Linked DNA regions of Oryctolagus cuniculus. The protein of the gene in region 1 interacts with the protein of each later gene in a biochemical or structural test. Links are inferred from orthologs where the notes say so. Each region holds a gene or a part of one and is shown in the gene's direction. Other genes may lie near its edges.

Region 1 (4,084 bases):
GATGCGAACTTCAGAAAAACAAAACAAGAACGAAAACACCTGGCCATCACAGGAATCCGTGCTGGCCATCACCAGGGTCTCCCGCTAGCTTGGGTTCCTGCTCTGCATTTTAACCCCCCGGGCCCGGGCATTCCTTGTTTGGGGGTTTAAGGGGTGGAAAAGTCCTCTAACAATGCTCAGGTAGATCTTCCCAGATCCACACAGCCGCAGGTTACCACAGCAACCACACAGCGGTTGTTCTGCCGGGGCTTCTCGGTGACATGACACTTGTAAAACGGTCTTCCCCTCTAAGGAGGGGCTGTGGTCCCGCCTCCGCCCCATCGTGGCAATGGAACATTCTAGAAGAGTCGCACAGCACAGCGTGGGGAGGGGGGGACTCGGGGCACGAGGGGGCAAATCCACCGCTAACGTTTAAGAGCCTCCAGCTCACCTGCTGGTCGACGCCACGATTCTCCCAAACACCAGGACACGACCCCGTGGCTGACCGTGCCCCTCCCCCTTGTGATCACAACGCGAGGTGCGCGTTTCATGCATCGGATCCCGGAAACACAGAGCGCAGCTTCGGTTCGCGTCCGTAAAAAGGCCCAGGTTAAAGCCCGGGCCGCACCAGGCGCCTCCGGCGGCGGCTTCCGGGGAGAGCCTGGGCGGCCGCGACCAGCCGCAACCAGCCAGCGCTGTCGGGGTCCGCCGTGGCTCCCCGCGGGTCTGCGCGCCGGCGGCCCGGGGCCGGGGCCGGGGCCGCGGAGGCGAGGGCAGGATGTGTCCAATCACCGGCCCGGCCCCCCACGAGACCACGGCGGTCACCTCAAACGCGACCCCACAGAAAGCCCCCTCGAGGTCACGGGCCGGGGGGACAGAGCGGGCCGCGCGCGGGGAGGCCCGGATGTGCCCAGTCACGGCCCGGCCCCCACGAGACCACGGCGGTCACCTCAGACGCGACCCCACAGAAAGCCCCCTAGAGGTCACGGGCCGTGGACACAGTGGGCCGCGGAGGCGAGGCCCGGATGTGCCCAGTCACGGCCCGGCCCCGACGAGACCACCGCGGTCACCTCAGACGCGACCCCACAGAAAGCCCCTCGAGGTCGCGGGCCGGGGACAGAGCGGGCCGCGCGCGGGGAGGGGGCGCCGGGCCGGAACCCCCGCGGGCCGCCCACCGACGGGCCGCTGCGGCCGAGGGGACGGGGCGCGGGGCGGAGCCGAAGCCCCCGGCCGCCCGCCCGCTCCGGGCGCCGCCCGGCTCCGCGCCGGGTCTTCCCGCCGCCCGCGCGCCGGCTCCCCTCCCCCAGGGCGGGCGCCCGCACGTCGGCCGCAGCACGCAGCAAACGCCCTGATCCCTCCGCCGGGCCCCTCAGGGCGGCGGCCCCTCCCCTCCCGGGCCCGGCGGTACCGCCCCGGGCTCGACCCGAGAACGTTTTGTGAGGGGGCCGACGGCCCCGGGCGCAGGGTTCCTTCCCGGAGGGCGGAAGAGGCTGAGGAAAGTAGTTCCTTCTCGGCGTTTCTGCGGAGGGATCTCGCCGGGGCGGCGGCTCGCCGTCGGACTATATAAGCGGGCGCCGGGCGCGGCGCAGCCAGTTCCGTCGGAGCCGGAGTTCGGTCGCCTTCATCCTGCGTACAGCTGCCGCCGCCGCCGCCGCCGCCGCCGCCGCCTGGTGAGTGGACCTCGTCGTGCTGGCCGGGGTGGGGGCGGCCCGCGGCCTCTCGGCCGTGAGGGAGGAGGGCGGTGCGGCTGCCCGCCGCGGGCGGGACGCCCTCCCGGGCGGGTAGTCGGCTGGGGTCGCCCCGCAGGCGGAAGAACCGACAAGATGGCGGCGCCGCCGAGCCGGGAGGTCAGGGTGCAGGGCGGACAGGGGCCGGAGAGCGCCGAGCGCCGCGAGGGTCTGAGGAGCGGAAGGCGGCGTCGCCGGGCCGCGTTTGGAGACGTGGGGGAGCGGTGTGGCGGGGCTGACGGGCAGCGCTGGGCCCCGGTTAGGGGCTGGGGAGTAGGGAGGCGCCTCGGCGCGGGGCTGCTCCAGCGGGTGGGGGGCGGCTCGCGCCGTGACGTCACCCGCGTGTTGGCACACAGAGCAGGGCGGGGCTGCCTCCCGGTGTGGGTGGCGTCGGTTTCTGTCAGTTGCAAGACACACGGTTAGGGCCTAGGCGAGATCCTGCTGAGTGGACGGGAACGCGAGCCGGAAGGGGGGAGGGACGGAAAAGCCCTGAGTTCACTGGTCACGTTTCCCTGCTTTCTTCATAACGAAGGGTCTGAGGCTGGGGTTTTGAAGTAATTTTTCAGGTTTGTGTTTGGTGTCCTTTGGAGTTCCTAAGCAAGTTATTAATTTTAATAGTGTAGATAAATAGACGATATTCAGTCTTTAGGAATATTAGTGAATTGTTTGCTGAATTTTTTTTTGTTTCTTTTTGTGTGTTTTCTCATAACAGACAATGCAGATCTTCGTGAAAACCTTAACTGGCAAGACCATCACCCTCGAGGTGGAGCCCAGTGACACCATCGAGAATGTCAAGGCAAAGATCCAGGACAAGGAGGGCATCCCCCCTGACCAGCAGAGGCTGATCTTTGCCGGCAAGCAGCTGGAAGACGGCCGCACCCTGTCCGACTACAACATCCAGAAGGAGTCCACCCTGCACCTGGTGCTGCGCCTCAGAGGTGGCATGCAGATCTTCGTGAAGACCCTGACCGGCAAGACCATCACCCTCGAGGTGGAGCCCAGTGACACCATCGAGAACGTCAAGGCGAAGATCCAGGACAAGGAGGGCATCCCCCCCGACCAGCAGAGGCTGATCTTTGCCGGCAAGCAGCTGGAAGACGGCCGCACCCTGTCCGACTACAACATCCAGAAGGAGTCCACCCTGCACCTGGTGCTGCGCCTCAGAGGTGGCATGCAGATCTTCGTGAAGACCCTGACCGGCAAGACCATCACCCTCGAGGTGGAGCCCAGTGACACCATCGAGAACGTCAAGGCGAAGATCCAGGACAAGGAGGGCATCCCCCCCGACCAGCAGAGGCTGATCTTTGCCGGCAAGCAGCTGGAAGACGGCCGCACCCTGTCCGACTACAACATCCAGAAGGAGTCCACCCTGCACCTGGTGCTGCGCCTCAGAGGTGGCATGCAGATCTTCGTGAAGACCCTGACCGGCAAGACCATCACCCTCGAGGTGGAGCCCAGTGACACCATCGAGAACGTCAAGGCGAAGATCCAGGACAAGGAGGGCATCCCCCCCGACCAGCAGAGGCTGATCTTTGCCGGCAAGCAGCTGGAAGACGGCCGCACCCTGTCCGACTACAACATCCAGAAGGAGTCCACCCTGCACCTGGTGCTGCGCCTCAGAGGTGGCATGCAGATCTTCGTGAAGACCCTGACCGGCAAGACCATCACCCTCGAGGTGGAGCCCAGTGACACCATCGAGAACGTCAAGGCGAAGATCCAGGACAAGGAGGGCATCCCCCCCGACCAGCAGAGGCTGATCTTTGCCGGCAAGCAGCTGGAAGATGGCCGCACCCTGTCCGACTACAACATCCAGAAGGAGTCCACCCTGCACCTGGTGCTGCGCCTCAGAGGTGGCATGCAGATCTTCGTGAAGACCCTGACCGGCAAGACCATCACCCTCGAGGTGGAGCCCAGTGACACCATCGAGAACGTCAAGGCGAAGATCCAGGACAAGGAGGGCATCCCCCCCGACCAGCAGAGGCTGATCTTTGCCGGCAAGCAGCTGGAAGACGGCCGCACCCTGTCCGACTACAACATCCAGAAGGAGTCCACCCTGCACCTGGTGCTGCGCCTCAGAGGTGGCATGCAGATCTTCGTGAAGACCCTGACCGGCAAGACCATCACCCTCGAGGTGGAGCCCAGTGACACCATCGAGAACGTCAAGGCGAAGATCCAGGACAAGGAGGGCATCCCCCCCGACCAGCAGAGGCTGATCTTTGCCGGCAAGCAGCTGGAAGATGGCCGCACCCTGTCCGACTACAACATCCAGAAGGAGTCCACCCTGCACCTGGTGCTGCGCCTCAGAGGTGGCATGCAGATCTTCGTGAAGACCCTGACCGGCAAGACCATCACCCTCGAGGTGGAGCCCAGTGACACCA
Region 2 (3,804 bases), on another chromosome or scaffold:
CTTTCTCTGAAGGGAGGAGAGAACTTCCACTTTGACCATGGCCTTGTCTAAAAATTATCAGAGTCAGTGAACTCAGGGGGCTTCCATAGCCTTGGCAGCTCATGACAAGAGCCTAGGGTGATTACTGAGGCCATAAACAAGAGTGTCAATTTGTTAAGTCAACAACAGGAGTCACTGTGCACTTACTCCTCATGTAGGATCTTTGTCCTCAGTGTGCTGTACATTGAGATTTAATGCTATAACTAGCACTCAAACAGTATTTTTCACTTTATGTTTCTGTGTGGAAGCAAACTGTTGAAATCTTCACTTAATGTATGCTAAACTGATCTTCTGTATATAAAGAGAATCGAAAATGAATCTTGATGTGAATGGAAGGGGAGAGGGAGTGGGAAAGGGGAGGGTTGCGGGTGGGAGGGACATTATGGGGGGGAAGCCATTGTAATCCATAAGCTGTACTTTGGAAATTTATATTCATTAAATAAAAGTTAAAAAATAAAATAAATAAAAGAGGGGGCAATATGATCATATATGCCTCTGAGAGGGTGGCAAAGGTAGAAAAACATGCCCTGGACTTTCCCGTGCTTGCCTCCCTGTTCTCAAGGAGATCCTCTATTAAGCACTTTCTGGTTTCAGAAGGCTAACAAATGGATAGCTCAGTTGCCAAGTTTCCCAGAGGATTTGGGCTATAATATCTTCACAGAGCAAATCCCCAACAACTGGGGAAAGGCTAGGAATTTCTCTAGCCTGCTGGGTCTGCTTTTTTAGAAGCAGTTACACCAGTTATAAACTACCTCGAAAGAGCTGTAAGACAGACCTACAGCATGGCCAGACTCCTTGAGGCTTCTCATAGATGTGATTCAGCCTGTATCAGACACCTTGCCTGTAAGATAAGATGGAGCCCAAGGTCACCAAGTAAGCATGAGAGAAGACACATGCTGCAAAGACTTTCATAACTAGGAATTTCTGGATAAATCCTGGAAATTTTTGCCTCTCATTCCTACTTCCCAGAGGCAATTATAAGTTTTGTACTTAACTATCACAATCCCCAAGGAAGTCATAGTGTTATGGTTGGGGTGGGGGAGCGGGTAGGTAATAGGAGTGGAAGACGAGTCTGAAACTCTTTCCCCAGGAGTGAGTCCTGGAGCCTGGAGGAGCTGAAAGTCATCTCACCAGACCTGAGGAGTGTGTGCCATGTGCCGGGGCTGAAGAAGATGCTGAGGACGTGTGGCGGTGAGGCGAGCTCTGGGAGTTGTGGGTGTGGGGCAGATGGGAATGATGAAAGTGTGGAGTAGACCCAGGATGGGGGAGGATGGACAGCAGTATGGAGGAGAGATGGCAGGTGGGGGAGAGATAGGAGTAGAGAAGGTAATCCCTTCAAAGGCCAGGGCAAGGCCAGGGCTCGCTGGAAGTCAGTTCCTCACCTGAGGAGGTCGGCCGCTCGTCCTCCTCCTGGAATTGACACAGATCCCCTTGCTACAGGCACAGGCTGAGGACTTCCCACACCCCAGGCCTGACCGTGGTGCTCTCTCTGCAGTACACATCACTCTGGATCCACAAACGGCCAATCCACAGCTCATCATCTCAGAGGACCTGAGACAAGTGAGGCTTGCAAACACCTGGCAGGATGTGCCAAAAAATGAAGAGAGATTTGATAATTATCCAATGGTCCTCGGTGCCCAGCACTTCAACTCTGGAAAGCATTACTGGGAAGTCAGTGTGAGGGGAAAGAGGGCCTGGGACCTGGGAGTCTGCAGAGCCTCGGTGCAGAGGAAGGGGAATTTTGTGCTCAACACTGAGAGAGGCTTCTGGACAATTTGGCTGTGGAAAGTAAAACAATATGAGGCTGGCACCTGTTCCCCAACCCCCCTCCACCTTCGGGTACCTCCATACCAAGTTGGGATCTTCCTGGACTATGAGGCCAGCACTGTTTCCTTCTACAATGTCACTGACCATGGGTCCCTGATCTACACCTTCTCTGACTGTGACTTTGCTGGACCTCTGCGGCCCTTCTTCAGTCCTGGTTTCAATGATGATGGAAAAAATGGAGCTCCTCTCACTCTCTGTCCACTGAAGATGGCATAGTCTGGACTCGCCAATTACTGAGGGCTCTTCATGGACACCCTCGTCCCATTGGGGCCCCTCCCAGCAGCAGCCCCTGCCTCTTTTGCCCATGAACGCTTGAGACACTTTTGCCTCTGCAGAGGTGTTGGGATCCCAGGAAGCAGTTGTTAGCAGGGGTGGGAGGTCACTGAAAGCCAATATCAAGTGGGTATTTCTGCTTTAAATTGCCGATTCCCTCCAGTGAAGCAAACTGCAGATTTAGCCCAAACTCACCTGAACCAGTTTCCACCTCCTTTATGTCGCTGAAGTTCTGTCCTAGGGGACAGCACTGTAGCATAGAAGGTTAAGCCACAGTTCAAATCCTGGTTTCTCCACTTCCAGTCCAGCTCCCAGCTAATGTGTCCGGGGAAGCAGTGGAAGAGGGCCAAGTCCTTGGGCCCCTGCACCCATGTGGGAGACCCAGACAAATCTCCTGGCTTCGGCCTGACCCAGCTCTAGTTATTGCGGCCATTTAGGTAGTGAACCAGCAAATAGAAGCTTGCTCACTCTCTTTCAAGTAAATAAACCTTTAAAAAAAAATCCTGTTTTAGCCTCTCCATCTTCAGGTTATTATCTTAGGTCAGAGCTCTGTTATACTGTGGGTGGTTTGTAAAATAGCTTCCTAAAAACAGTTGTGTTGTATTCTGCCCTTGTTCCTTAAACCTGAAATATTTGACAACTCTGATTAATAGTGATATACAACATTCCTTCAAAATGTTCATGGAAAATACATATGAAAAGTATGCATGGATTTCAATTTTTGCACCAAAATAAATGTATCTTAACTCCATTTTTTTTTTACAAACTTTAAAGTATGCTTAGATATCTAATGTTGCACATTTTTTCCTGCCTGGGCTGCCCTCCCTACTTCTGCATCTGGATTATTTGGTCTTGGGCAGAAGATACCAGTAAGAGTTTCCTCTCTTGATCTCCAAGTGGCCACTGTGATAATAGAAGGCATTTTGAGATTGCAGTCACTGCCCGAGGGCAGGTGCCCTTCACATAGAGGGAACTCCTGGGTTTGAAACAAAGTGCTCTCAGAGCTGGTACTGTTCTCTGTATCTCTGAAAGACCTGAGATGCTTCTGTCCATGTTCTTGGTTGACCAGTGAATGTCACTGATAGAGGGTGAAGGCTCGGGTGCCCTCAGCTCTCAGCGTTCTTCCTGGAAAATGGAACACTTCTACTCCTCCTGGGACATCCAAGTTTGCTATCATTCCTCTCTGAAATTCCCCCTTTCTTGGGCAAGTTTTTCTGGCTTTTCCAGGGGAACACATATGGCCTCCACTAAGGAATAGCAGAAGGGACTTGTCTGCAGTGAGTGAGACCATATCCTCAGTTATGAGAATGGAAGTTTGAGCAGGGTGGGATGTGTCTGTGTCCACCTGTGTTCCAAGTCAGCAGCTCAGGTTATGAGAACTGGGAAAAAAGGGCTCAGTTTATCTTCCAGAAGCTTCTACCATAGAGGATGAAATCAGCCAAGGTAAGGGGAAGGGGAGGGTTCCATATCCTTTCTGTGCAACCACACCACCTCCTCTCTGAATCCTGCCCCCAGTCCCAGGGCTTGAAGGTTTTGTTGTTGGAGAGAGGTGTGGAAAAGAAATTTAAACAAAGGAAGTATCTAAGGCCCCAGGCCTAGCTGCTAACAAGTGTCCTATGTATCTACAGCTCAGGCCTGTGCCTCAGGACCAGGGGTCTAGGAATG
Region 3 (4,086 bases), on another chromosome or scaffold:
GGCCTGGCCCCGGCACCGAGGCCTGGCGGGCGGGCTTTCGCCTCTGCTCCAGGTCTCCTCGCCGCCAAGCCCGTCCTGCTCAGGGCTCCCTTCACGCATCGCCAGGTGGCTGGGGCTCCCTGTGCCGCTTGCCAGGGCCGCTGCTGGCGACAGCCAGAGCCCAGCCTTCCCTCTGGCTTCCTCCTGGCGAAATGAGCCCCGGGCCTGCCTCTGTCCACACTCAGCTTCGGCGCTCGCCGCAAACCGAGCCTGAGCCAGCGCACGCAGCTGGTGTGCAGAGGAGGGAGCAGCCACGGCTGCTCGGGCTCCTGTCGCCAGCTCAGCATGCCCAAGCCACCCCAGACTTCTACTTTGACACGGTGGAGGCCGGCCAGCGCCCCTGTTCCGCTTCTCCTCTGAACACAGGCGGGTCGAGTGTCGGGCCCGACTCACAGCCTGTGTTTGGCCCTCATTTTTTCAGCCCATTTTCCTGAACGAAGTCTTGGTGAAACTGCCCACAGACCCTTCCAGCGATGAGCCTGTCTTCCACATTTCCCACATTGATCGGGTCTACACGCTCCGAACAGACAACATTAACGAGAGGTCAGTCCTGACCGTGTGTGACCTGAGACCAAGGAGAGAGCCCACCCCCACCGCACCCAGGGGCCCTCTGTCCACACGTGCCCCCGCTCCGGCCACGGCAGCCTTGGCCAGGCCCGCGCCGAGTCGGGGCTGCCGCCTCCTAGCACGTTTCCGCCTCGGGTCTGCTCAGCCGCTCCGGGACGGCGGACCCCGTGCCTCAGTCCCTGCTGGCAGCTGGGTGCTGCTCACGGGCCACGTCCTCTGCTTCGATGGCCTCCTGGAGCTGCTCCTTGCTCCTCCTCCCACCCACATGCCCCTGTGGGGGGCCCCTTCCCCACTCTCCTCGCCTGCAACCTCTGCCCTCTGCCCTCTTCCCTACGCCCTCAGCCGTGCTTCCCCCAAGGCGGGATGGCAAACCTGGGGGATGCAGGTCCCCTGAGCACACAGCTCTCCGTGGACAGACTCCCCACTTCCCGGGCAGCCGTGTCACACCTGCGGGGATGGCACCTCCGGCCCCAGGCACAGTCTGCCGTGTGCAGGCCACCAAGAACTGGCCTCAGACCCTCTCGGCGCCAGCCTCTGTTGAATTAACACATTAGGTCTGTGACTGGAAATTGCCAAAGCTGAGGTTGGCAAAAGAGGGGGGGCACCAGAGCTGTGGGCTCGTCCACGGCCGGCGCGCTGCCGGGAAGCCCCCAATGGCTGCTCTGCCCCCCCCCCCACGGCCAGCACGTTGCCGGGAAGCCCCCAATGGCTGCTTCCCCCCCCAACGGCCGGCGCGCTGCCGGGAAGCCCCCAGTGGCTGCTCTGCCCCCCCCCACAGCCGGCACGCGGCCAGGAAGCCCCCAGTGGCTGCCCCCCCCCCACGGCCGGCACGCTGCCGGGAAGCCCCCAATGGCTGCTCTCCCCTCCCCCCCAGGACTGCTTGGGTGCAGAAGATCAAGGCGGCATCGGAGCAGTACATCGACACGGAGAAGAAGAAGCGCGAGAAGGCTTACCAAGGTACCTGCAGGGCCCTGGGGGCTTAGCACCGGGGGGCAGGGAGTCTGGCCCTGGGGACACAGGCTGCTGTCCCTGCTGTAAGACTGGGGCCATGGGGACAGCCTGGAAGAGCAGGCCCGCTGCAGGATGGCCAGTGGGGCCCTGGCCGTTGCCTGCCCGCTCCTCCCGAAGCTGCCATCACAGACCTCACTGAGGCTCAGCTGCCACGCCCACTAGGCAGCCTGGGCAGGCTCGGGCCTCCTGGTCCCCACAGCAAAGTCTCAGTCCCTCTTCCTCACCAGTCTTCACTCCCACCACAGCTGTCTCTGCAGGCTCCACTTCACGCCCTCTAACTCCCCTTCCCTTTCCCACTCTGCCCCCGCCCTCCCAGCCTGCCCCGCCTCCGCCCGCTCCCTCCCCAGGACGCCTGCCTGGCCCTGAGCCTCCCCTCCTCCTTCATCCCAAGTCCTGTCCCCACGGCCACCGGCCGCGGAAGTGGCCTGACCAGTGGCTTGCCGCCCGTGCCCGCTCCCTGTGTTGGGCATCCAGTCTCCTCTTCCCTCTGGACCCCTTCAGGCCCTGAGGTCCTCGCGCCCGCAGACCTTCCCTCCTCGTCTCCCTTCCTCTTTCTCCTCCCCTGGAGAGGAGTCCTGCCTCACCCAGTGCTTTTTGCTACCTCGCTCCGGCAGCTCCCTTCCTTGGGGAGCCGCCCATGTCACCCTGGGTTCAGACACCCCTGGCTGACCACAGCTGCGCGTGCCCTGTGGGATCCAATGGCCTCCATCCATGGTCGCTCCTCCTCGTCCTCCCAAGAATCCCCACTCGGCCGCCTGGACAGCACCTGCCCTCCTGCCCCTCACCCACTCTGCTGTGGAGCCCTGCGCTTCCCCCTCCACCTGCCCGGCCCCTTCCTCTCCGCACTGCAGCTCCCTGTCCCCAGCACCACCGTCCTCACTCCTAGAGGGCGCCTCTCCCTGCTTAGCTGTCTCCCCTGTGGCCTCCCAGATGGAGGACAGGTTTCTGGCCCCAGCCTCAGAGCACGGCCCCACTGCTGCCCACACCTAGCCCATGTCACTGCCACTGAACCACTCCCATCACTGTCAGGCCCACCTGGGCGTGCTGCCTCCCAGACACACATGCCCCACCCCACCAGAACCCTTCCAGGCCCAAGAAAACACTGCCTCCTCCATGACACCTTCCTTGACCCCAACCCATGTGATGTCCCTGGAGGCCCTGCCGTGAGTCTGCCGTCCTGCTCTGGTCTTGAGGCCTCTGTTGCTTCTGCTCACGCGCCCCAAGTCACCTCCCCTGAAGGCAGCTCCACACTTGCAGGGCCTGTGGCTTGTGCCCAGTGGCTCTGTGTGTGTTGCATCCATGTGTCCGCCCCGATCACGGGACAGGTGGTCCACCTGCTCGGTGTGGCTACAGTGGTGTTTGTAAGAGTCCCCGTGCCCTGCCATGATCCTGGCCAGGACGTCGCAGCTCCCACGTTCTTCCCCGGCCTCCCCTGGGTGCCGAGTCCCCGCCTCTCTGCCCCCTCTGCAGCTGCGCCACACCTGTCCCACCCCCGCCCGTCTGCCGTCTCCCTCCGAGCAGCTCAGGCTCCTGGGTGCTCTAGCCGCAGCTCTCTGTTTTCTCCATTCAGGTTTCCCTTATTTTGTTGTATGCTCCTGACAGGTATGTGTACATCAGCTTTGCTAACTGAATGTCACCTCAAAAGCTTGCTATTGAGAAATCGATGACTGAATCATTTGTGCCCCACATGCTGATCTCTTAATTGGGCAAAGATGTAAATCAGGGTTTCTGCGCGTTTTGCCCACCCTGGTGGGTGCGTGTGTGTGTGTGTTGCTGTGTGTTCAGTCCTGGAGACGCTCGCGCCTCTGCACTGGGAAGCCCCGCCCTGGCCTCAGGGCAGCTGAGTGCTGTTCAGGTTCACGGTGGGAGGGGCACAGGTGAGGGGCGGCTGCTTCTCAGAGGGAAAGTTGTATTGGCCTGGAGTTTGAAAAACCAGTAGCTCACCGAAGCATCTGCCTTGTTTCTAAAGCCTTAACCTGCTTAATTAAACCCATGTTTACCCAAAGAATACAGCTCATCTCCGTGTTGGAGGAGTTCAGGTGCCTCCTTAAGTAGAACAAGGCCATAAGTAAAGCTGCCTGGTACGCGGGAATGGTCATGCGTAATCGGGATTACCAGTGCTTTAGACTCTGGTGTCTGGCGTCTGGATGCTCGTCCTGCCTTTTAGAAGCTCTGAACTGAGCACTTTCTAAGCCTCAGTTTTTCTCATCTGTAAAACGGGGAGCTACCGTGTAAGGTAACCAGGAGTCTAACCAGCTATGATGTAAAGTCTAGCACGTGCCTAACCCAGAGTATCCAAGAAGTGTTCACTGGTGTCAAGTGCTTAACTAATGTGCCTTACTATTGTATTACTGTCACTATTTGCCTGGCACTTGAGGGGTCCTGCGAGGAGGAGCAGGAGGGGGAGGAGGGAAGTCGTGCACGTGCTGCAGTGGCTCCCCTCTGGCGGAGGACACGGGCATCACGGGA
Region 4 (4,086 bases), on another chromosome or scaffold:
AATTTTTGTTGTACTGTAGATATCTTAATGGACAATCTAGGGTGGTTGGGAGGGGGGAACCTTGAATAGAGAATTTTAGTGTTGAGAAGGAATTTTAGGACACTTTCGGTGTTGAGAGAGAGTCCCAAAATTGTTTAGAGTATGTGTGATAGGTGGGAAAAGTATTAAACAAAGCATTACCAATCTGTAGAGATGACGGAAGAATTACTCAATGTGTGAAAATTTGAGGGACAAAAAGATTAGTTTAGACCCTATCCTTCTACTGTCCATTAAATTATAGTTTGGATTAAATGGTAAAAAATTTTAAGAAAATGATTCTTTGGGGGCCGGCACTCTGGTATAGTAGCTTAAGCAGCCACCTGTGACTTTGGTATCCCATATGGCACTGTTTCGAGTCCTAGCTGCTCCACTTCTGATCCAGCGCTCTGCCTGGGAAAGCAGTACAAGATGGCCAAAGTCTGTGGACCCCAGCAGCCATTTGGGAGACCTAGAAGAAGCTGCTGGCTCTGGATTGACTCAGCTCCATCCATTGCGGCCATATGGGGAGTTAACCAGCAAATGGAAGATCTTTTCTGTCTTTCCCTCTCTCTCTAACTATGCTTCTCGAGTAAATGAAGAAATTTTTAAAACAAACAAACGAAGAAACTGATTCTTTTATTTCAGGATTGGGAAAACCTTTCCATCCTCAATACAATGAGTCGTGATAAAATTGGATTAAAAATGTTTTTGAGACAAAATTAAGCAATAATTATTTGAGAAAATATTTTTGATAATTACAACTTAATGTCCAATGTGCATATACATATGGATGAGCAAACAGTGACATCTAATAGATAAATAAGACAAACATTAAGCTACCTGATAAGGGGCCAGTGCCGTGGCACAGTGGGTTAATGCCCTGGCCTGAAGTGCTAGCATCCCATATGGACGCCGATTCGAAACTCGGCTGCTCCACTTCCTATCCAGCTCTCTGCTATGGCCTGGGATAGCAGTAGAAGATGGCCCTGGCTGGCTCCGTGGCTCACTTGGCCAATCCTCCACCTGTGGCATCGGCACCCCGGGTTCTAGTCCTGACTGGGGCGCTGGGTACTAGTCCTGGTTGCTCCTCTTCCAGTCCAGCTCTCTGCTGTGGCCCAGAAAGGCAGTGAAGGATGGCCCAAGTGCTTGGGTCTCTGCACCCGCATGGGAGACCGGGAGGAAGTACCCAGCTTCTGGCTTCGGATCGGCGCAGCGCCAGCTGTGGCAGCCATTAGGGTCAACCAACGGAAGGAAGACCTTTCTCTCTGTCTCTCTCTCACTGTCTATAACTCTCTGTCTCTCTCTCTCACTGTCTAACTCTGCCTGGCAAAACATTAAAAAAAAAAAAAGAAAAAAGAAAAAAAGAAGATGGCCCAAGTCCTTGGCCGCTGCACCCACATAGGAGACCCAGAAGAAGCTCCTGGCTCCTGGTTTCAGATCAGCGCAGTTCCAGCTGTTGCAGCCAATTAGGGAGTGAACCATCTGATGGAAGAGCTCGCGCTCTCTCTCTCTCTCTCTCTCTCTCTCCCTGCCTCTCCTCTCTCTGTGTAACTTTCAAGTAAAATCAATAAATCTTTTAAAAAAAAAAAGTTACCTGATAAATAAAGGAGATAAATGGAAATTTCCCCAAGAGGAAATTGATGATGCTAAGAAATATGCAAAAATTACTACCCTCTTCAGTATCAAAGAAATGCAGATTTAAAAAGCAAGAGGATAGTAAATAAATGCAAAAGATAAGGCTTAATCCTCAATTTCCTGTTTTAAGATAAGTATATAGTAGTAAAGGAGGAGCTAATGTCCACCTCTAAGGTAAAGAAGCAGTGCTCGCATATCATCATTTTCAAATTATAGTTCATTAATTTTCTAGATGTTTAATATCAGTGCTTTCTAGCATCCACAAAGAAACTCAGCAAGCCATATGTTTCAAGATGGAAGAACAACACCTACCCCTTGACCCCATATCCCAGTGTAGCAGTTCTTAAATAACCTGTGATTGGTGCCTGTCTAGATCTACCTACCAGTTTATGAAACATACATGAGACCAAGCAGAATGCTAAGAGAAACCACAGAGGTACATTCAGCAAAGTCCAGTCTGCAGGAAGTTTGTGCAGAACAAGTGATTACATTTTTCAAACTTTTGGAGTCACAATCAAAAGGAAAGGAAAGCTAACTTCTGGTGTCTGATTCACAGCTCCTGGAAACCCATTCATGTATTATAGATTAGTCATCCATTTTCTAGAAGTTACTTATAAAATGCAGAATCACATTTTAGGAATAAATAAATAACATCCATTTTGAGGAAATGAACAGTTTCATGTAGACTTTTCTAAATGATGGTAGAGAAAAGATTTTAAATAAATTGCTGGTTTATTTAACATAGATTTATCCTTTAATCTGTTCTTTTTTAAAAAAAGATTTATTTATTCATTTGAAAGAGTTACACAGATAGAGGAGAGGCGGACAGAGAGGGAGGGAGGGAAGGAGAGGTCTTCCATCCGCTGGTTCACTCCCCAGTTGACTGCAATGGCTGGAACTGCGCTGATCCGAAGCCAGGAGCTTCCTCTGGGTCTCCCATGCAGGTGCAGGGGCACAAGGACTTGGGCCATCTTCCACTGCTTTCACAGGTCACAGCAGAGAGCTGGATTGGAAGTGGAGCAGCCAGGTCTCGAACCAGTGCCCATATGGGATGCTGGCACTTCAGGCCAGGGCATTAACTCACTGCACCACAGCGCCGGCCCCATCTGTTTTTATGTTATTTTGGCTCTAAAGCATTCTTGGGACCTGTCGAAAACTTGATTTTATTAATGTTCTGAGCTCTAAGCTAGATATGTTATGTAGTCATATTGACAAACAGTTACTGAGGGTTTTTTTTTTTAAATAAATAAAGCATTTTGCTTGTTAGTAGGAAATAATCAATTTGTAGTCTTTTTGATTTACAATTGTGAAGGAGCCATGATCACAGATAACACAAGGTGAGTCTTGGCTACTATGCTCCCAACCCAGCTCCCTGCTAATGTATCTGGGAAGACAGGCAAAGTACTTGGGCCCCTGCCACCTATGTGGAGATCTGGAAGGAGTTCTAGGCTCCTGACTTTGGTCTGGCCCAGCCTAGCCCTGACCATTGCAGCCATTTGGAAAGTAAACCAGCAGGTAGCAGAGCACTCTCTCCGTTTCTCCCCCTTTCTCCGTAACTCTGCCTTTCAAATAATAAATCTTAAAAAAAAAAAAAATCAGTAGCACATTTGCTGATCTGAGCAATGTGATACAAGTCTTGGATTCTAATGTTTATATTTTGTTTTTTACAGATTCTGAAGAATATTTCTGTGTAAAAAGAATTTTCTCAGGTGGAGATCAAAGCTTTTCACATTACTGTAGTCCTCAGGTAATAATACAGTTATGTAAATACTTAAACAATTTTGAGGAATTTTAAAAATCTGTATTAATGTTCTTTATATGTTATATAGTGATAGGCCTGACTTTTATACCTCATCTGTACAGAATATTTTTCTGATCTATTTGATAAGTTTTTATTTCCCATATTTAGTGGAGGTTTATTTTTTTTTCAAACACAAATGGAGAGTGTTTTGGTTTTGAATTATAGATAATATTTTTCCTCTAACTTCCTTATTTTATAATTTAGAACTGTGGGCCACCAGATGACTTTAGATGTCCTGATCCTTCAAAACAGATATGGACAGTGAATGAAGCTCTAATTCAAAAATGGCTGAGCTATCCCTCTGGAAGGTTTCCTGTGGAGATAGCCAAGTAAGAGAAACATTCCTTCCACACAAACACTGCCTCTCAAACCTGCGGTAGAGCAACCTTTACAGAGTTTACATTTAAATATTTGTTTGATGGAATATCATTCAGTCCATTATTTAAGTATATAAATATAAATGTATAATTCCATAATAACATTTTAAGAGATCTTACTTGAAATTGGGTAAGTCACAGTTGCAGTTCTTTTCTAGATGTAAAGATAAGTTAAATGATTAATTAGGACATGAAATAAAGCCATTTTAGGATTCAGTTTGAATTTTGTTCCCTGTGAACCTTATGATGGTCACT
Region 5 (4,086 bases), on another chromosome or scaffold:
TCTGCTTCCAATCCAGCCTCCTGCTAAGGAGCCTGGGAGGCGGCACTTGGGTCCGTGGGTGCAGTTCCTGGCTCTTGGCTTCAGCCTGGCCCAGGCCAGCTCTGCATTTCAAATCAATGGAATAAAAACACCCCCCTTAATGAGGTACTGTGCTAGGTGCTAGAATTATGATTAGTCCTTGCCGATGTAATAGAATCATAATAAAAGTGATGGGCATAGGTGTCTGGCCTAGGGGCTAAGATACTTTCAATATATAACATATATATGTTATAATATAATATAATATAATATTATATAATGTGTACTATATAATATGACATAGTATAACATCTGACATACGTTATAATATAACGTATCAGAGTTCAATGCCTGGGTTCAATGCCTGGCTCCTGGTTCCAGCTTCCTGCTAAGGCAGACCCTGGGAGGCAGCAGGGATGGCTCAAATAATTGAGTTCCTGCCACCCATGTGGGAGACCTATTTGAGTTCCTAGCTCCTGGCCTCAGCTCAGCTGAGACCACTGCAGTTCTTTGGGGAGTGAACCAGTAGGTGAGAGCCAGTGCTTCCTCTCTCTCTCTCTCTCTCTCTCTCTCTCTAATAAATAGAAAAAAAAAATGTTAGTGAAGTGATGGAAGTGTGTGCAGGGAGAACGCGCAGAGGGAGGCTGACTCCAGCAGAGGCTTCCTCTCAGTCGTTCCCAGAGAGCTGCTGGCTCCTGCAGCCTCCCTGCCCGCAGGGTGCGGCACTTTCTTACCAGGACTCCGGGAAGAAAGGGAGAGAAGGATTTTGCTCTGGGCCACCTACCCTGCATCCCAGCAGTGAGATCCCTGGAGTGGAGAGATGCCCACCCTCCTCTTTGATGCCTGAGCCTTCTCAGCAGGAGGCTTTGAAGGGAGTGTTCTTTAAATCAAAACAGAACAAAACAGAAGGTGTGTAGATCATCAGGGAGCCTGGAGTGGAGCCAAGACTCAAACCCGGGTACGCGGATACTCAGAGCAGGTGTCCTAAGCGGGGTCTTATTCCATGCACCCAACAGCAGCTCCTCAGAGAGAATTAAGAAGGTGAAAGATGTGCCTCTGCTGACTCCGTGTGTTCTCACGTCCTGGGGCAGATGTCAGCCAGACTAAAGACTCCGAATGCGAAATCTCCCTAGCACGCTGTGGCTGTGGCGGCTGGGGTGTCAGATGTGCAGATGTCAGCACCGCCTCAGCTCTTCCTGAGGTGCAGAGACTTTAATTAGATCGACACCTAGCTGTGACCAACAGCCCCGGATGGCGGAACTGAGCAGGGTGGGGAAGGGACCCGGCACGCGCCTGCCTCTGGGCAGGTGTCCCGGTGACTTCCTGTCTGTGAAGGTCTCCCCAGTGCGGACAGGGCAGCTCTGGGCTCTTCAAGCAGCCCGTGGTCTCCCCAGCCAACCTCCCTGGCAGAGGGAGAGCCGCGGGCAAAGGCAGCATTCCCCAGGAGTGGTGGGGCTGCTCATACAACCTCCCATCTTCTACTCCGGGAGACAGGGGAGATTTTTTTTTTATTTTAGATTTATTTATTTGAAAGGCAGAGTTACAGAGAGAAAAGGAGAGAGAGATCTTTCATCTGCTGGTTTGTTCCCCAAATGGCTGCAACAGCCAGGGCTGGGCCCAGGCCCATTAGCAGGGAGCGGGATTGGAAGTGGAGCAGCTGGGACTTGAACCAGCTCCCATATGGCATGCCAGGCTCACAGGCTGTGGCATTACCTGCTACTCCATAGCGCCGGCCCCAGCGAGACAGTTTTATAAGGGTCTTTCAAAATGTTTGTGGAAAAGGGAGTTAAGGATACATTCAGGCCAGCGCCGTGGCTCAATAGGCTAATCCTCCGCCTGCGGCGCCGGCACACCGGGTTCTAGTCCCGGTCGGGGCGCCGGATTCTGTCCCGGTTGCCCCTCTTCCAGGCCAGCTCTCTGCTGTGGCCAGGGAGTGCAGTGGAGGATGGCCCAAGTGCTTGGGCCCTGCACCCCATGGGAGACCAGGAGAAGCACCTGGCCCCTGGCTTCGGATCAGCGCAGTGCGCTGGCCGCATTGCACTGGCCGCAGCGGCCATTGGAGGGTGAACCAACGGTAAAGGAAGACCTTTCTTTCTGTCTCTCTCTCTCACTGTCCACTCTGCCTGTCAAAAGGAAAAAAAAAAGGATACATTCAGGGTGGACCTGGTAGTTAGGACGCCTGTTTAAAGGTCTGCGTCCCGTATCAGAGTGGTTGAGTTTGATCCCCAACTCCAGCTCCTGGCTCCAGCTTCCTGCTAATGCAGACCCTGGAGGCAGCGCTGATGGCTCCAGTGGTCGGGTTCCTGGCTCCTGGCTTCCTTCCAGCCCAGCTCCAGCCATCACAGTCATCTGAGGAGTGACCCAGCAGGTGGAAGATCTCTCTCTCTCTCCCTCTCCTTCCTTCTGTCTCTCTGTCACTCTGCCTTTCAAGTAAATAGATAACTAAATCCTTTTTATTGTATTTTTTTAAAAGTTTATATTGGTACAAAAATATTTAAAATCCCCGTGAAAATTTTTAATGAACTTTTGGAAGACCCGTTCCAATGCATGGATTTCAAAAATATTCTCACCATAAGAAGCTCACTCTGCTCCTTCCACTTTCCACGAGCTGCTCAGGGAATGCTCACGTGCACACGCACGCTTATCCGTAGTGTGTGGTAAAGGATGACCAGGCAGATGTGAGGTGGTGCTGGGCCTGGCCGAGAGGGGCTGGGCCTGGCCGAGAGGGGCTGGCTGTGGCTCCCACAATCCCTCCACGCAGGCTTAAGTGTCCGTGCCGGTCCGCCCTCACTCCTCCCAGGCCGTGGAGAACTTCATCTACTCCTGTGCCGGCTGCTGCGTGGCCACCTACGTCCTGGGCATCTGTGACCGACACAACGACAACATCATGCTGAAGACCACGGGCCACATGTTCCACATCGACTTCGGCCGCTTCCTGGGCCACGCCCAGATGTTCGGCAACATCAAGCGGTAAGCGGCGTGGAGGTCCGCAGAGGCAGGCGAGCGCTGGGACACAAGCCGGGGCTGGGCTTCGGAGCGTGGTCCCTGGGCCGAGGTGGGGACAGTGGGGCCAGCTGCTGCCCTCCTCGCTGGGGTCTGAGCAGGGAAGTGAGCCCCAGCTGCAGCAACAGGGACCTGCTGAGCTCTCCAGAACAGTGGTTGCAGGCTCTCCGGTGAGCAGCCAGCGCTGGATGCGGGATGTCCGTCTCCTGGGACCTGTTAGGATTCAAGGTGGCAGAGCAAAGAAGAGGAAAAGGTCATGTGGGCCCCGGTTCGAGTCCCAGCTGCTCCACTTCCTATCCAGCTCCCTGCTAATGCACCTGCAAGGGCAGAGGAAGATGGGCCCTCACACCCACGTGGGGGACCCAGGAGAAGCTCCTGGCTCCCAGCTTTGGCCTGGCCCAGCAGGCTGTTACAGCCATTTGGGGAGTGAACCAGCGGATGGAAGATCTCTCCCTCTCTGTAGCTCTTTCAGATAAATAAATAGATAGATAAATAAAAAAAAAAAAAAAAAAAAGAGGAGGAGGAGGTCAGAGAGCGCCCGTCTGTCCAGCGCCACGCGGGTGACGGAAGGGAGGACGCGCCCTGCCGCAGCCACAGCTGGGCCTGGTCCTCCACGCTGACCTTTGACCTCTGTGTTCCCCTTGGCCCAGGGACCGTGCCCCCTTTGTCTTCACCTCGGACATGGCGTATGTCATCAACGGGGGTGACAAGCCTTCCAGCCGCTTCCACGATTTTGTGGATCTTTGCTGCCAAGCCTACAACCTCATCCGCAAGCACACCCACCTCTTCCTCAACCTGCTGGGCCTGGTGAGGAGCCCCGCCCCTCTCGCCTCAGCCCCTGGCGCCCCCGTGCCCTGCTCCAGACGACTTCTGGGGGCCCCCTTGCGGTGGAACACCTGCCGCCCCAGAAGAAGGCAGGGACCCTGCCTGCCTGGGGACAGTGGCGTCCACATAGGTGTCTGACCCTGGCTCCCAGCCCTGGAATTCTGTGGCCTGCCAGCCACAGCCCGCAGCGCCTGCCTTCTACCCTCCAGAAGGGCTGGAGAAGCCGGCTTTACGTGGGGG
Region 6 (4,738 bases), on another chromosome or scaffold:
CATTGCGGATCTCATCTGGAAGGGCATGAGCCACATTGTTAGGGCACAAACCACAAGGACCTTCCTTCCCCTGGGTGGTAGCTGTGGCCAGATGCACAGGAAGAGCTCATTCTTCTGCCAGCCTGAGATACCAGAGTGTGCGAGAAGCCCAGACCTGCTGCCTCGGCCAGCCCAAGATCAGCTTGTCTTTCTCAGCTTCAAACAGGGAGAGGAATTTACAGAGCCAGGAGAGCCAGGTCTAGACACACTCCAGACCAGCTTTGAGTCCCTGCCCACCCGGCTCCACACTGCCCCCTCTTCCTCTCACCAATGACGGTGGGCTCCAGGTCCACAAACACTGCCCGGGGCACGTGTTTTCCAGCACCAGTTTCACAGAAGAAAGTGGTAAAGGAGTCATCCCCTCCACCAATGGTCTTGTCGCTGGGCATCTGCCCATCGGGCTGAATCCCATGTTCCAGACAGTAGAGCTCCCAGCAGGCATTGCCCATCTGGACACCTGCCTGCCCTACATGGACGGAGATGCATTCACGCTGAAGGATAAAGAGAGGGGACAGCATGAGCCCGCAGCCACAACCTCTCACCTCATGGGCTTCCCCCCAACACGCTATCGCCTTCAGCTCGGATGAGTCTTGCAGTGGAGGCTTGGGGCTGGCTAGGGCAGGCTCCTCTGCACAGGACTCCCCAGCTGCAGGCACCAGGAGGGCAGGCAAATCCCTTCGTCTGCCTCTCGGTGGGGAGTTTGTCAAGTGAGAGCTATGGTTCCTCGTGATCCTGCTGCACGCACAGGACACTCGGGGAGGACAGAGAGGGCACGTGCGCGACTCTGGCAGACGCTGCAGTAATGACCACGGGCAAGGCTCTTCAGCTGCCCTCATTCCCTGCTGCCCACAAACAGCTCCCCCAGAGCCTGGGGAGGGGTACAGCCTCTTGTTCATAACTAGAGCACCCCCTCCCCCACCGCAATTCTCTTGAGGGTGAACACAGAGAAATCCACGTAGCCCTTTCTCCCCGCAGGCTTCCCGGCTGGCATCAAACCAACCACACTGGTCACCAGGTGGCCTGCTCCCCCTACCTTTAAAGCCCATCCGGCTCTGGGGATCCGTCGCATCTGGCTGCTCTCCCCACCTCCACCCCCGCCCTCTGGCTGGCTTCACCACCTTCAGCCCCCACGGAAATAGCAGCCATAACGCTGGTAAGCGCCAGCCCTCCGCAGGAGCGGGCTAAAGGGTAGGGGCACGGGGGAGCTGCTGCAGCCTTAGGCTCCGTCCCTGCCAGTGGCAGATTAACCCCCGGGGCACCAAAGTCCGCAGGACCCGCGCGCCTCCCTTCCCCCAACGAAATGCCAGGGTGACGGTTTCCAAATACCCAGAAAAGGAAGCGGAACCTTCCGGGGGCCCCCAGAGGTAACCCGCCTTGCCCCGGGCAGGGTGAGCGCCACGCTGCACCCGGCCCTACATCCGCTCTCCCGCCGGAGTCTTTCCAGTTAAATCCCAGCCGAAAGTAGGGATAAGGTTTCTGCCCCCGCTCCTGGGCTATAAATACCTCCCCCTACACACACCTCTTTCCCATCCCCCCAACCTGGCCCGGGCCCGCGCCGTCGCTCGGCGCCAGCTGTCTCTGCCCGTCCGTCCGCGCACCCGCGCTCAGGCTGCAGAGGGGCCGGCTCACCTCACGAGGCCGAACCCCATTCCCGCCATCCCTCCCGGCCAGAAGTGGGGTGCTGAGTCACGGGCCGGGGTGGGGGGAGCGGCTGTGGGCAGGAGGGATGCTCAAACAGCCTGAGGAAACGGGGATGCGGCACCAAGGACCCTGGCCCCTCTCCACCATCTGGCGCCAAGCACATGTCCGGTCAGTCCCAGGGCCGGGGGCGGGCAGCCAAGCGGGTCGTCGCCCACGGAGAGGACTGGGCGCGGGACCGCGTGACTCCGCTGGGAGGGTTGGGGCACAAACGCTTGGTGAGGCAGGAGGGGGTGGTCCGGAGGGCTTCTCTTTGCTAGCGAAGATTCCAGCCCCCACCCCGCGAAGGTGGCCACCATAGTTCCGCCAAAGTCACCGGGAGGGGGGTTGGGGCAGGGTGCGGAACCCTCGCACCCCCTGCAGACCCGCAGGGTCAGGTGGAGGGCCCGGAGCATCCCTGGAGGGAGGGTCCCCCAAAGGACAGGGGCAATTCGGGGACAGGGCACGAGGCCGGCGGGGCCGCACTCACCATGGTGAGTCCGGGCGGTGCGTCTCACGTAGAGTCGGGGTGACGGGTCTCGGTGAGAACTGCGCTAGCTGCAGTGCCGCACCGCTCTTATACTCCGGGGGCGGGGCTGCGCGCGCCGCTCCCCGCCAGGGGCGGGGCGGCCCTGTAGCCACGCCCCCAAGATCCAGGCCGGGGCCCCTCCCCCTGCCGCTCCGGGGTCCCTCACCTGTCGGGCCCCGGCGACCAGCAGCGACTCGGGCTTTAACCCTTCGTTCCCCGCTTTGGGCCGGCACTCCGGGCTCCACAGATCCGCGGCTGGCGCACAGGGTGCGGTGGCCGGGCGCGCCTCGCCTGCACCTGCGTCATGGGGGCGCCGGACGTCCAGGTGTTCTGATTTAGGCCGACTGCGGTTGAGAGCGATCTTCCGAGGTGGCTGCAGCTGGCCTTCGCCGGGGCTCTCCCCGCTCTCCCTCCCTGGAGGCTCTGGCCGGCCGCCGCTGGGGAGCCCCTGCCAGCTACACGCCGCCTGCCGGTCCCCGGCCGGGACGGCAGGCCTCCGCCCCCACCTGTGGGCGGCCGGGGGCCGGGAGCTGCACAGCCTGAGCCCCAGGGTGTCGATCCTGTGGACTCTCCCGCAGAGTCGAGCCCCGCAGTCTGCCTGCGAGGTCCGACGCTGGGAATCTGCCGTGGCTCGCCAACCCGGCGGGCAGGGGGCCGTCATCGGCGGCGTCACTATTAGTGAGCCCTCGCCCCGCCACCTGCGCGCTGCCCCTGGGACCCTCAGGACCTGGATTCGCATCCGGACTGCCCCGTGTGACCTTGGTCAAGTGACTTCCTTCTCGCTGAGGCTGGGTTCTTGGCATTTTCACCAACAAAAAAGGAGGAGGCTCCAAGCCTAGAAGCAGTGTTGTGAGTTAACAAAGTGTTGAGAAAGAAAGTGGAGATTCGGGTATCATGGCTGATGGGACCTTTCCCCTTCTCTCCTGCGAGCCGCCCTCAGCTGCTTCCTACATTTCATTTCCATTTCTTGCAAGTCGGGCTACTTTTGTCTTCCCCAAGTTGCCCAGCACTTTCCAGCCGTCTGCTTCCACTGGGGACACCCAGCAGGCTGGCTGGCAAGCCTTTTAAGAAACCTGTCTCCCAGGCTAGCCATCACCTGGAAAAGTCTCACCTGCCTCTCGGCCCCTCTGGTTTCCCTGTGGCCAGCAGGGTGGGCTGACAGCACAGCACCATTCCATACAGCCACCAGCCATGGCAACTTTCTACCAACAAAGTAGCTAATTGGCATTTGACTGGGGAAAGGCATAGAAAGAAATATACTGAAATATGATAAGGGCTCTCTTCCCAGCAGACTTGCCATCTGGTTGGGAGAACATGATTCATTCATAAAAACAGCACTGACAAGGGCCTCCAGTGAGGCTGTTTGGGGAGACCATGGCGGCCTTCATGGAGGAGGAAGCCTTGGTGATTACAGGACACGTGGCCGCTAGCAGATCTTCCCTCGCCCTCTTGTCCTTGCACCCCACCCCTCACCGCAGCAGAATGAATACAGCCAGAGACCTGAGCTATCTTGGGCAAAACCCTTACCTCTTCTTCGACCTTCACTGTAGAACTGGCCCAACAACTTTGGGTGTGGGGCCCTGGGGATTCTGTGATGTGGTGCACCGTGTAAGTAGCTGGCTGGGTTCTTGGAGCACTTCTTCACATCGTGCTGGGTACATGGCTGTGTTGCTAGAGGGCAGGCTGTTAAAGGCCTGAGCCTTTTCGTCTTTGTGTCTCTAGTTCGTGGCATGGTGCTGGGCACACAGGGTACACAGCTGCTAGGTGTGTGTCAGGAATTGTTCCACTTCCTGTAGTTCTAGTGAAGTTGCTGATTGGCAGCCTGGAGGTCAAACTCACTCTTAGATGTGCCATGTTTGGCCTTGGTGGTGTTAACCTTCATAGCATGTAGGACATGAAAAAGTTGGGGATGTCCCTGTATAAGAGCACCCCTCAGACCACCCCCGCCACGTTAGGACACTGGCTAGAAGGACTCCCAGGGCCCAGCACATAGTTGCGCTCAGAGCTAAGGCTTGTCACGGCGGTGCAGTAGGGACACACAGCTGGGTCGCCCCACGTAACATCTGAAGGAGCCCGTGCCCTCTGCCTCCCACGAGGGCTCGGCACGGTTCCTTCAGAATCAATTCGCAGCAACATATCCTTCAAGGACATGTCTGCATCAGGAAGCCCATCTGAGACTCAATAGGGTTTCTGCAGGGGATTATCACATAGGCACCCCTGCCTAGCGCATAGCCAAGGCTTAGCCTCCTAGAAGAAAAGCAGGTGTTGGACATGAACCATCTTGTTTACACAGTCTAGGCAAAATAAACCATTCTTATCAGCTGTTAACCGAGAACCAAATCCTCAGACTCCGGCCAAGAGCCAACCTTGCCAGCAGGCCTTCCTGTGGTCAGCAGTCTCAGGCCTGCTGTGTTAACTCTTTTTTTGCACAGTCATATACCGTTCCAGCTTTCTAACCTACCCTGAAAAGAACTGACAGATCTGGCCATATCA
Region 7 (4,717 bases), on another chromosome or scaffold:
AATGGCATGAACATGCTTTGGCTTCAGCTGCATACTGCTTATTTGTTTTCCAAGAGTTTTACCCATTAATTTGTAACCTGCAAGCTATTAAATATCCCACCAGCACATTAAAAGCATCTTTTAAATACAAGTTTACATTTCTTCAAAGATTTTATTTATTTATTTATTTATTTGAGAGGTAGAGTTACAGACAGTGAGAGAGAGAAACAGAGAGAAAGGTCTTGTTTCCGTTGGTTCACTTCCCAGTGGCCACAATGGCTGGAGCTGCGCTGATCGCCGATCCAAAGCAGGAACCAGGTGCTTCTTCCCAGTCTCCCACGCCGTGGCAGGGAGCTCTAGGGCCATCTTCTACTGCTTTCCCAGGCCACAGCAGAGAGCTGGATAGAAGAGGAGCAGCCGGGACTAGAACCCTGCGCTCATATGGGATGCCTGCGCCGCAGGTGGAGGATTAACCTGCACCATAGCGCCGGCCCCAAGTTTTTCCTATACATTTAAAAGCTTTAGAAATATTTATTTTACATAGACAGCATTTGAGAAATTCACTTCCTGGGTCTCATTCTCAGTTGTCCTCTATAAGTGTAACAGCAATGATGTCATAAAGCACTTTGGGGATATGCAGGAAATAATTTTAAGCAGTAATTACCGAAATAGGCCAGTTAGATGGTAGTCTTGCATACCTGACAGACAAAAGCAGACATCTAAGATTCAAAAGAATTTTCTCACTTTAAATTCTTTTCAAACACGTTATTGACAACTGTTGGTGTGTGTAATAGTCCTTTTGTTGGGAAGGCATTTTTGGAGAAAAAATTAAAACACATAGTTGAATGTCGGTGATCTGTTTTATAGACTGCTACGTGTATGAACACTGAGAAAGATCGACTACTTTATTTAGTGGGATGTATTTGAGAATGCCTTGAGAAAGTATAATCGGTCTAGGGCTTGGTGTTAAGGTTAGCCAGGCCTCAGCTCCCTTTCTTCGGATCCTGGACTTTTACGAAGGCGCTCCCGTCCGCCCCTCTCGATCTTTTTCCTCGGGTGTACTGTAATACTTGTTGAGCCTGGGGCAGTGAAGCTGGGTTAGATGTAGGTCACCTCAGGGCACTCCAGATTCTTTCCTAGGTCTTAAGAATTTCACTAAAGGAACACATACTCCACCTGCTTAAAAAGAAAACATAAATTAGTTCCCACCATCCACCTTTAGTGGTAAGACGGAGAAAATTAGCGAGATGTCCTTTTACAACCACACCTAAACCAACTCAACACACTCCCCACCTTCCGTGAGCTTCTCTTCCCGGCAGGGCTGGGCCGGCCACACAACGGCTTCGCCCACCAGAGGCCAATGTCGGCCCTGAACGCATGCGCTCTACCTCGGAGGCGTCTGCCCCTCTTTTACATCCATGGGGGGTGGGGGGCGCGTTTTCGGGTCTGGCAGGAACTACAATTCCCAGCATCCTGGGCGGCGAAAGGAAGGAACCCCGGGAGTGCGCGAAAGCGGCTCGCGGGGCTAGCGGGCCAGCGAGGGAGCTCCTCCTCCTTCCAAGCGGGTCTGCGTCTCTTGCAGCCTGCGGCGTCAGCCGCGTCGGCGCTCACGCAGGGGCGGGTGACGGCGGCGCGGGGCAGTGCAGGGCGGGAAGGGACGTCGTGGCGGCGGCGGCGGCCGAGGCAGGGCCAGCAGCTTAGGCGGCTGCGGCAGGGACAGCAGGCGCGGTGGTGCTGTCAGGCCGGCGGAGAAATGGGAGACCCAGGGTCTGAGGTGAGTAGGGCAGCCTTGGGCTTTGGCGTCCTGAGAGCCGAACCGCGAAAGGTTTCCTGTGTTCTCCGGGGGGAGGCCTGTGCTCGCCCAGGCCTGTGGGGCGACGTCTCTTAACCCTCGGACCGAGCCCGGAGTTGGGCCTGCGCATGTATGATGAGCAAGGAACCGGCGGGAACAATGGCCGCCCCCCGATGCCCTCCCATGGTCGCGGGGTCCTGCAGCCTCGGCTCTGCCGCTGGGAGCGACGTTTTAGGAGAGGACTGCCCGTGGGTAGTGAGCTTGTGTCGCCCCTTGTTTTGTAACTGTGGGGATTCTGAGCGGCTCCTAAGCACCAGGACTCCGTCCAGGTCTGATGGTAGTCGGGTTTGCTGAAATCGTGGGCTGTTTTCCCCGAGAGCTTTTTGTCTTCATCGTGCTTTCTGGAAAAGTCTCTCCCTTCAAGCGCGTGGCTGCATGTTAAGCATGTTTTGGCTTATTTTTATAGATAATAGAATCTGTCCCTCCAGCTGGGCCTGAAGCATCAGAGGCAACAACGGATGAAAATGAAGACGACATTCAGTTTGTTAGTGTAAGTAGCACCTCATAATCGGGGATTTCCCCATTGTGAAGGGCCATGGTAGGGCATTCCGGGGTGACACTTCGCCAGGTCATTCAGCTTTCAACAAATACTTAGGAAAGTGTGACGCTCACTGGACACGGTGGAGCATGGCATGAACTCGGGGAATTTCCCCCAAAGTAGTATCTGAGCAACCCCGGTGGCCATCACAAAGAGTGAGGCCTAAAGAAGAGATGGTGCACCTGGTTACTCCTCCCATGCCCTCATATAGAGCCATTTATACTCCGCCATGACACAATTCTGATCTCAGACTGGCAGTTTTAAAATGGGCAGAACTGTTTTACAAGATGACACACAGGGGTAGGGGTGGCTGCCGGTAAGGAAGGAGACAGGAAACAAAAAGGGTTGCCAGAACTCAGAATCTGGCATTATGTAGCTTCAGACTTGAGGCAAGTCGTTGGAAGGTTTCACCACCCTCTGAGCTCGTCAGGTTACAGCACAGTGCAACAGTTGAGGCTCATAATGGAGAGTCCTGCATCACCAGGAACAAACTGTGTTGTTCTGAATTTATCCCCATTGGGACAGTATGTTAGCAGTAGTAGTGTAAGCAGGCAGATTGTGGACTCTCCTCCAGACCTACTAAATCAGAATTTCCTCTGGGGTAGGGATGGGGGCAGTAGGAATCTTTGTTTTGGAACAAATGCAGCACCTATGGACCTCTGAACACACTTTGTGAAGTATTCCTTTTGGAAGAAAGCCATATGTTGTTTTTTAGGATGGTTTACATTCATAACTTAAAAAGTTTTATAATGTTTGTCCTTAAAGTGATAGCTTAATTATCCAGAGAGTATTTCTCCTCCAAACTCTGCTTTTGGAGTGCTGTAGTTAGTTGCAGTTTGGTATACAACATTCGGCCATTGGGTGACTGTTGTATGGTATTTTAGTGGGTTTTTGTGAACGGAATCAGTCACAATATTTTTTTCCTTGGATGTTCCCCTTTTTTTCAAACCATAATTGTATTCTGTTCTCATCTTGAACTTGTAAGGATTTGATGTGAGAGTGAGAATGACTTGCGTCTTTCCCCTTTGTCGCTGTGGAATAAGTTTGATGACAGAGTTCCATGGCTCTTTAAGACAGTATTTTAGGCCGGCGCCACGGCTCACTAGGCTAATCCTCCGCCTTGCAGCGCTGGCACACCGGGTTCTAGTCCTGGTCGGGGCGCCGGATTCTGTCCCGATTGCTCCTCTTCCAGGCCAGCTCTCTGCTGTGGCCAGGGAGTGCAGTGGAGGATGGCCCAAATGCTTGGGCCCTGCACCCCATGGGAGACCAGGAGAAGCACCTGGCTCCTGCCATCGGATCAGCGCGGTACGCCGGCCGCGGCGGCCTTTGGAGGGTGAACCAATGGCAAAGGAAGACCTTTCTCTGTCTCTCTCTCACTGTCCACTCTGCCTGTCAAAAAAAAAAAAAAGTCTTAAAATTAAAAAAAAAAAATTTGAGGCAGAGAAAGGAGGAGAAAGAAATCTCCCATCTACTAGTTCACTCCCCAGGTGCCTGCAACTACAAACAAGCTGAAACCAGGAGCCCTGAAGTCAGTCTGAGTATCCCACATTGGTGGCAGGGACCCAACTACTTGAATTTTCAACTAGAATCTCTCAGGTACCTGTTAGCAGGTAGTTAGAATCAGAAGTAGAGCTGGGACTCATACTGAGGTGCTACCAATATGGGATTGAGCATCCCAAGTTGGCGTAATTGTTCACTGTGCTACCGTGGGTATAAAAGCTGCTGAGGGACCCTATCATCTTTATAACAGTGCAGGAGTTTCAGTTTTGCACCAAGATTATTGGTACAATGTGAAATCACTGGAAACATGGGTGTAAGCAAGGAAATTAAAATGTTTTAATAAGTAAGTTCAAGAGCATGTAGGTTAAGTATTAATACTTGAGCTATAGGGGTAGGCATTTTGCACAGTGGTTAAGACAGCACTTGGGACACCCAAACACTGACTTTTCTGCTTTAGATCCTACTTTCTGTTGATACACACAAACTCTGGAGGCAGCAGATGATGGCTTATGTCATTGGGTCCCTGCCACCCATGTGGAAGACCAAGATTGAGTTACGGATTCCTGATTTTGGCCTAGTCCAGTGGACATTTGGGGAGAGAACTAGCAGATGAAAAATCTTTCTCTCTCTACATTTCAAAAAATAGGAAAAATAAATTTAAAAATAAAAATAGAAACCAAAACTTTAACTGCAGAAGGGAGTCATGTAAAAAATAAGTACCTTTTGGGCAAAATTCAATAAGTAAAAGTATTGAGCCAGGAGTTAAGTATCTTAGAGCTATACAGGTTAGTTGGAAGTATATATACCTTAAGTATCAGTAGTTTAGTTTAAGGTATGAGCTAGGAGAT

What was found.
Region 2: of the proteins of UBC (region 1) and TRIM21, one has a biochemical effect on the other in vitro, tested with the Homo sapiens proteins (2 studies listed by BioGRID). The link is inferred for Oryctolagus cuniculus from reciprocal best matches to the Homo sapiens genes UBC and TRIM21.
Region 3: the proteins of UBC (region 1) and ITSN2 form a complex in vitro, tested with the Homo sapiens proteins (2 studies listed by BioGRID). The link is inferred for Oryctolagus cuniculus from reciprocal best matches to the Homo sapiens genes UBC and ITSN2.
Region 4: the proteins of UBC (region 1) and HERC4 form a complex in vitro, tested with the Homo sapiens proteins (2 studies listed by BioGRID, with this or other methods). The link is inferred for Oryctolagus cuniculus from reciprocal best matches to the Homo sapiens genes UBC and HERC4.
Region 5: the proteins of UBC (region 1) and PIK3C2B form a complex in vitro, tested with the Homo sapiens proteins (2 studies listed by BioGRID). The link is inferred for Oryctolagus cuniculus from reciprocal best matches to the Homo sapiens genes UBC and PIK3C2B.
Region 6: the proteins of UBC (region 1) and DNAJB2 form a complex in vitro, tested with the Homo sapiens proteins (2 studies listed by BioGRID). The link is inferred for Oryctolagus cuniculus from reciprocal best matches to the Homo sapiens genes UBC and DNAJB2.
Region 7: the proteins of UBC (region 1) and ZNF451 form a complex in vitro, tested with the Homo sapiens proteins (2 studies listed by BioGRID). The link is inferred for Oryctolagus cuniculus from reciprocal best matches to the Homo sapiens genes UBC and ZNF451.

The regions. Positions count from the first base shown.
Region 1 is NC_091452.1:5,126,933-5,131,016, forward strand, and holds the start of UBC (polyubiquitin-C), read left to right. Parts: upstream 1-1,284; 5' UTR 1,285-1,649; intron 1,650-2,103; exon of another isoform or gene 2,104-2,272; intron 2,273-2,418; 5' UTR 2,419-2,421; coding exon 2,422-4,084.
Region 2 is NC_091432.1:62,646,772-62,650,575, forward strand, and holds the end of TRIM21 (E3 ubiquitin-protein ligase TRIM21), read left to right. Parts: intron 1-1,129; coding exon 1,130-1,230; intron 1,231-1,534; coding exon 1,535-2,082; 3' UTR 2,083-2,890; downstream 2,891-3,804. UniProt on the Homo sapiens protein: E3 ubiquitin-protein ligase whose activity is dependent on E2 enzymes, UBE2D1, UBE2D2, UBE2E1 and UBE2E2.
Region 3 is NC_091433.1:178,394,388-178,398,473, forward strand, and holds part of ITSN2 (intersectin-2), read left to right. Parts: intron 1-460; coding exon 461-582; intron 583-1,480; coding exon 1,481-1,563; intron 1,564-4,086.
Region 4 is NC_091446.1:59,920,943-59,925,028, reverse strand, and holds part of HERC4 (probable E3 ubiquitin-protein ligase HERC4), read left to right. Parts: intron 1-3,323; coding exon 3,324-3,400; intron 3,401-3,658; coding exon 3,659-3,783; intron 3,784-4,086. UniProt on the Homo sapiens protein: Probable E3 ubiquitin-protein ligase involved in either protein trafficking or in the distribution of cellular structures. Required for spermatozoon maturation and fertility, and for the removal of the cytoplasmic droplet of the spermatozoon.
Region 5 is NC_091444.1:19,878,366-19,882,451, reverse strand, and holds part of PIK3C2B (phosphatidylinositol 4-phosphate 3-kinase C2 domain-containing subunit beta), read left to right. Parts: intron 1-2,818; coding exon 2,819-2,988; intron 2,989-3,065; exon of another isoform or gene 3,066-3,234; intron 3,235-3,671; coding exon 3,672-3,828; intron 3,829-4,086. UniProt on the Homo sapiens protein: Phosphorylates PtdIns and PtdIns4P with a preference for PtdIns. Does not phosphorylate PtdIns(4,5)P2. May be involved in EGF and PDGF signaling cascades.
Region 6 is NC_091434.1:20,213,828-20,218,565, reverse strand, and holds the start of DNAJB2 (dnaJ homolog subfamily B member 2), read left to right. Parts: upstream 1-1,656; 5' UTR 1,657-1,848; intron 1,849-2,206; coding exon of another isoform or gene 2,207-2,209; exon of another isoform or gene 2,210-2,847; intron 2,848-4,738. Other genes in the region: TUBA4A (tubulin alpha-4A chain), read right to left, coding at 1-15, 308-530, 2,207-2,209. UniProt on the Homo sapiens protein: Functions as a co-chaperone, regulating the substrate binding and activating the ATPase activity of chaperones of the HSP70/heat shock protein 70 family. In parallel, also contributes to the ubiquitin-dependent proteasomal degradation of misfolded proteins.
Region 7 is NC_091436.1:112,490,708-112,495,424, reverse strand, and holds the start of ZNF451 (E3 SUMO-protein ligase ZNF451), read left to right. Parts: upstream 1-1,732; coding exon 1,733-1,753; intron 1,754-2,237; coding exon 2,238-2,321; intron 2,322-4,717. UniProt on the Homo sapiens protein: E3 SUMO-protein ligase; has a preference for SUMO2 and SUMO3 and facilitates UBE2I/UBC9-mediated sumoylation of target proteins. Plays a role in protein SUMO2 modification in response to stress caused by DNA damage and by proteasome inhibitors (in vitro).